Linked DNA regions of Bombyx mori. The protein of the gene in region 1 purifies or fractionates together with the protein of each later gene. This does not show direct contact. Links are inferred from orthologs where the notes say so. Each region holds a gene or a part of one and is shown on either strand. Other genes may lie near its edges.

The links. Proteins that work in one complex are often made in the same cells at the same time.
Region 2: the proteins of COP9 signalosome complex subunit 8 (region 1) and cullin-2 purify together in Homo sapiens (affinity purification with mass spectrometry; 4 studies listed by BioGRID and IntAct, counting the BioPlex papers as one, with this or other methods). This does not show direct contact. The link is inferred for Bombyx mori from reciprocal best matches to the Homo sapiens genes COPS8 and CUL2.

The regions. Positions count from the first base shown.
Region 1 is NC_085110.1:11,097,212-11,099,841, forward strand, and holds part of COP9 signalosome complex subunit 8, read right to left. Parts: intron 2,436-2,630; coding exon 2,185-2,435; intron 1,536-2,184; exon of another isoform or gene 1,103-1,535; coding exon of another isoform or gene 914-1,102; intron 333-913; coding exon of another isoform or gene 187-332; intron 1-186. Other genes in the region: chitin synthase A, read left to right, coding at 187-332, 914-1,102. UniProt on the Homo sapiens protein: Component of the COP9 signalosome complex (CSN), a complex involved in various cellular and developmental processes.
Region 2 is NC_085129.1:21,461,517-21,465,485, reverse strand, and holds the start of cullin-2, read left to right. Parts: upstream 1-1,169; 5' UTR 1,170-1,322; intron 1,323-3,969.

The DNA.
Region 1 (2,630 bases):
TGCTTAAGTCGCATTCCTCATTTATAAGAATTGTGACCGCCACATTCTAGAAGTATCTTTCTTGTAATGTTGCGCCACCGTGCACCGTCCTGGGTGATATGAAACTCATCCCATACTAATGTCTATTATAATATTAAGTGTTCATAATTATAATAGGCACTGAAGGGCTTTTTATGATTATTTCAGGTACCCCAGTTTTAAATCGTAAAATGACATTGAGAAGGGAGACATTGAAAGCTTTAGAGACCCGTCGTAACTCTGTAATGGCAGAAAGAAGGAAGTCGCAAATGCAGACACTTGGCGCTAATAATGAATACGGTGTTACTGGAATGGTATGAAATAGTTAACATGCTGTTTTTTTTGCTGAAGATGGGCAGAGGGTCCGCCTACTGTCGTGGTAAATAGTTAAAGTTGTTTAAAGTCGTCGTGGCCTGAAGAATAAGACGTCCAGTGCATTCGTATCTTGCGATGCAACGGTGTTCGAATTCCAGGCCGATACCAATTTTTGTACTGAGTTACGTACTCAACAAATGTTCACGATTGACTTGCACAATGAAGGAACAACATCGTGTAATAAAAATGAAACCCGCACTTACTCACTTAACATCAGATGGACCGTGAGATCGTCCACCTAAGCTTAAAAAAAAACAGCCCATCAACATCACGTATGCGTCAGATATGAGGTATTAACACTTCGACATTACCACACAACTGCACGGGATCACATGTTTGCTTCACAGCAGAAATAGGCAGAATGGTGAAACCCATCCCTGCCGCAAATATCTCCATCAGTATTTAGTATAGTATTTAAACAATATTATATTTTTAATTATTTTATTATTTAGTTTTATGATTTATATTGTTATTAAGTTTTTCCGTAACCATGGTATTCTAATGATTGTACTATTTTCAGCTCAATAATAACGTTGGACCTCGTCATAGAGCATCGAATGCTAATATTTCAGTGAAGGATGTATTCTCGGAGCCCAACGGAGGACAGATCAACAGGGCCTACGAAGCCTCACTCGGGGACGACGATGACTCAAATTCCATGCGACTTCAGCCAAGACAAAACCAAGTTTCATTCCAAGGGAGGTTTTAACTAAGAGTTGCCAAAACAATCGTCCCAAGTGACTTATTCTTACTTTAAAAAAGGATAGGAGTTATGAGATTACAATTAAAAATAACTGCTTGTGATATTTTAAAAATCTTTTTGAATTTACTAGTGTGACTGGAGTAAAAAGGAGTCACTGAAAACTATTTTAGAATTAATAGCTTTATTTTAATTAAGAATTTATTTAGCTCTTTCAATTTACACTGCCAACTTATTTTACGTTTTTTTTTATTCCATTATAATCTCAGTAGAAGTTAAGAAAACCATTTTTTTTTACCAATTATAGACTTCCAATTTTGTTAATAAATGAGATTAAATATAAATGACATTCTTTTATTTTAACCTCTAAGTTCTTTTGGATATTGCAATCGCAATTGAATGAACTGAAGACCAAATTTAGTCTCAAATTCGAAATATTTTCCTAAAACCAGAAATTTTAGTTAAAATGTGCCTTTGTTGTAACTACATTTATATATTTGAATGATTAAATAGCTTTCGATTAAGAGCAGGCTTTGAAGTATGCAACAGAGAACCGTCTGCTTTGTGTGCAATTATGTAGTAATTTTTTTATCCAAGTTTCATTAGCTTTTGATGAATATTTGGATTAGTGTTTTATTTTTCTGTATTATTATTTGGGTTTCAGCTAAAACTTATAGATCTATTATTTAATACAATATTTTCCTAAAAAAGATAGCATAGATATCTGATCTATGATATATTATTATTAATACCAATTACAATTCAAAATGTTCATATTGAAAAAGTTTATGGGTATTTAGAAACACACCACCTACTTGCAAAAGATAACTTGCAAAACAGAATAGTATTGCAATTTATATAAGATGTTTTATTTTAACAAATTATCAATTAACTTATTGCAGTTCTTGAAGTAATTTGATGACACAAAATGGAGGCATTTAGTATTATTAACTATCATAGCTAATGCCACTTTCCCTCAAGGGGTTGAGAGTTAAGGTTTAGACTCTACAGGCTGAGTTGCTTACTTCAAAGCCAACTTTGGGATTTTAATTAAGATCTAATCTAGAAACTGATTTATTTTCGAAACTTACTTAATTTTCTAAGAATGACACAAATTCTGTTAGTTTGAAAAGTTGATCTTCACTAGAAGTATGCAATGGGGCTGGTTGTGCTGGGGGTAAGGGATTCACTGTCATGCCATCATCATGTAGAGTCCACCTGCGATCTTGACAGACTTGTAATGTGGCTTCCCTGCTGAGACCAATCATTGAGATCAGTTTATCTATTTTTATGGAACTGTACGATCTTCCGATAAGGTTTAGAGTCCTTTCTCGAACATTTTCTGTGAAGATGAAAAAAAATGTGATTGTATATTTTTTATTTAGATTACTTCATCAATGTGCGTCAAGACAGAAATAGAATGGATGGTGGTAAATTTTAAGCCCAAATTACAAGTAAATACTGACTGGTGATTAAAGGTCGGAAAGGACTGACGATGTTCATATAACACTCATTTCACATTGCTGGATATTCCCTC
Region 2 (3,969 bases), on another chromosome or scaffold:
AATATTTTGTGTTAACTATGATGCCCTAACTTTAAATCCATCTATTATGTTTGATTTCGGCCTAAGTAAACAAGATCTTTCTATCAATGCCAAATTTGTTGATATTATTGACAGTGACAGCCGATGGAAAAATTGTCATTTAATTTTTAGCGATTCCTCCAAACCCGGTCCCGAGGAGTGTGTGGGGGTCGGCATTTTCCATCAACAGTTTGGCATTGTTCAGAAAATAAAATTGCCTCCAGAGACTTCAGTATTTACTGGAGAATGTTTTGGTCTTCTGAAGTCTCTGGAGTACATTTTAATGATGAAGCTTAAAAAGTCAATAATTTTAACTGACGCTAAAAGTGCCCTCCAAGCCTCGGAACGTTTTCCTTTTAACAGTAACCGAAATAATCATCCTGTGATTATTGCATGTCGTGATTTATTGTATCAATGTTGCATCAAAAATTACACAGTTTCCTTTGCTTGGATTCCGGGGCATTCGGGTATCTTTGGCAATGCCAAGGCCGATAGCCTTGCCAAAGCTGCGGTCAATGATGGAGATTTGGTTCCGTACAAAAACTTTTGTTGTGATTTAGCTCTGCTTCCTAAATTCCAGTTATTGAATTCTTGGACTCACATTTGGCGTTCTTCAAGACAGACTAAATTACAGCACGATCCAGGTGGATATACCTCCTAAACCGTGGTTTTCAAATCTGACGTTTGGTAAAGCTATCACATCGACCCTTATTCGCATGAAGCTGGGCCATGCATGCATTCCCTTGCATTTGGCAAGGGAATGCACCTTTTGCCTAGTGATATATGTGAGTGTGGCAATGACGTTGGGGATTTTAATCATATATTCTTTGCCTGTCCTCGAAATGACCGTTCCGCTTTTATTTCCTCACTTTTGTCCATTAAAATTCCTTTTCCTACTTCAATTTCTATCCTTTTATCTAATATCAATATTGATGTATATAGAATATTAGCTAGTTTCATTTTTCATAATAATATAAAATTGTAACCATTTATGTACTTAGTTTATATAATATATATACCTGATCCTTTTTCCAAATTCCGTTCCAATTTCAAATCCAAAAAATAAATCCATTAACACACTTCCTAACCTTTTTGCGTGGCTGACGCACAAACCGTGCAGGCCAAGAAATGGGAGAAAAAAAAAAAAAAAAAAACATTGCATTTGCGCCAGAGACGTCAATGTCAAAAATAAGCCTGACAAAGAATTACGGACGAAATAATATAATTTGTACATAAAATATAAACAAAATATTCAACAGGCCATTAAAACTTCGCATAGGAAATTAATTCACGAAAAGTATATTGTAAGTACCTTTCCTTTGGATTATAAATATTAACTTTGATTTGCACATCTGTCATTGCAATAAGTACATACATCGAGATTGATTATTTTGGTTTTTAATGCTGAGTAATTCTACGTCGGGAGCCGGGCATTGGCATACAGACACCTTTGTCACATTGCCAAACAAATATATGATCGTGCAAAGTACGCATTTTACGTATTTAAAAGAAATCAAAATTGTTTCAACCCATTTAAATAAGTTAACCCCATTTGCCATCTATTCTTTTGAATCTATACGAATAATTTGCATAATTAGACAGCAACATTCGTCTATCAAGAATCAGTTCTATATTATTGAAGAAGACTTGCAGATTTTGTAAACATAGAACATAAGGACTTGGCACATAACACAGCTTATTGTAGTCCATTTCGTGTTAAGTAGATCAAAACAGCAAACGGTATTAAACCACGCATACAATTCAGGTATACAGCCCAATAGAATACATAAAATGAGAATTGCTTAATATTTACACTTAGGAAAACATAATGAGGTGACAAATACCTAATCCTCCATATTCGGATCATGATTTGCCAAAAATAATAAAGAATAATTGGACATGTATTATAAATATCCCCTTGTGACTAATAAGACCTTCCCTTGCTTTAGATCACAAGCTAAATAAAATATGAATGTACTTAGTGTTTATGCTCAAGCGTAGCTCCATCCATCATAACGGAACTGGTCCTTTACACCACCTAATTTATAGCAACGGTCAACCCACTGCAAAATAGATTTTGAGATTAGTCATAATGAATCTGGCCGAACAAAGTAAATAGAATAATTTGGGTAATAACCTGAAAAAGTTCTCAACTCTTCTCTTCACTGTTAGACACATAGACACAATATTCCAACAAAAATACTTGCTGTGTAAAAGATCTTCCTTTTTAAAATTTCTAGTATCAAACTGATATAACTTAAAAATAAACTGAATATTTTGATAATTGTAATTGCGATTTGATTCACATAATATGTATGTTTTATGGGATAGATGGGTATAGCAAATGTGGTTGCTCTAGTGTGTAGAAGCTACTAGATCCCACAGACACAACAAAATGGATACCTCTGCTACCTAAGTCTAACCTAACTGCTTTTTTAAATAATCCTCCACAAGCATTTTTTTTTTATTTATTATTTATTTAATATATTTTGTACACACAGCTGTTAGAAAAGACACGTCAATAAGGATACAGAGTACAAGGGCACTACTTATTTCATGCTGAAATCTCTTCCAGTAGGCCCGCAAAAGGAAAGAAGAATTAGGAACACAAACCTAGTGCATACAGTAAACATTACATATAATAATATATACATATTACAAGATACAAAACAATATATATGCATACAAATACACACACACACACACACATGCATATATATAACATACACACATATACTTACTTTATATTATAATACATTATACAAATATATATAATTTATTTAAGATGGTAAGGATAAATAATGTTCCTTAACAGATTTCTTGAACGCTGCTATGGTTTTGCACGCTCGTATGCTTGGAGGGAGGGAATTCCAAAGTATAACTGCTTGTACAGAAAACGATTTTGCGTAAGCATGTGTTTTATGAACAGGGCAATTGAGGAGAGTTTTAATGTGGGTTCTACAAGGAGCAATGGAGGGACGGGCATAGGTAAAGCGATCACGTAAATATTGTGGGTAGTTAGGATTATGTAGGATATTAAATAGGAAGCACAACATTCTAGTATTTCTGCGGAAACGGACTGGGAGCCACTTGAGCTTTTTGCGAAATTCAGAAATAGAATTCAGAATTTTTTGAGACCAAAAATAAAACGGATGCACAAATTTTGCAAACGCTCAAGCTTATTGAGAAGCTCCTCAGTGACATCCAAGTAGCAAGCATCAGCGTAGTCCAAAATGGGTAAAATGAGACTTTGGACAAGAGAAATTTTAGTTTCCAAAGGCAAAAAATATTGGAGACATTTGAGTGAATGGAATGTAAAGTTAACTTTACTGCTAACATTGTTAACCTGCTCATTCCAGCTTAAGAAAGAGTTAAAGGTAACGCCAAGGTTTTTAACAGTTTCACTAAAGACAATTGGTTGGCCATTCAATATGAGAGATCCAATTGCAGAATGATTTAATGCACGAATAGCATATCTACTACCAATTATGATGGCCTGTGTTTTGTTGGCATTGAGTAAGAGTCCATGAGACGTTGCCCATTCATGAATGTTTTCCAAATCACAATTAACATCCTTGATTGCTCCATCAATTTCACTAGGTGCGCAGTGATGGTAAATTTGCAAATCATCTGCATAAAGATGAAAATTTGAGGATATCAAAGTAGTGACTGTGTTAATAAACACTGAGAAAAGAAGCGGAGAGAGAACACCACCCTGAGGCACGCCAGCATCAACAGCAACCCAGTCTGAGAAGGATTCATTTTGACGTGTGCGTTGTGAACGGCCCCGAAGATATGAATCAAACCACCTTAGGGCAGAAGTAGTAATGTTTTCGCGGAGCAGCGCCGCGTCCTCGTTGCAAAAATAGGACCGGACTTGTCGCTTCCGACCGTCGTGGCTGCGATGCTCGGCAGCGATGAGTCCTGGCAGGCGATGCTCGACTTCTGCGA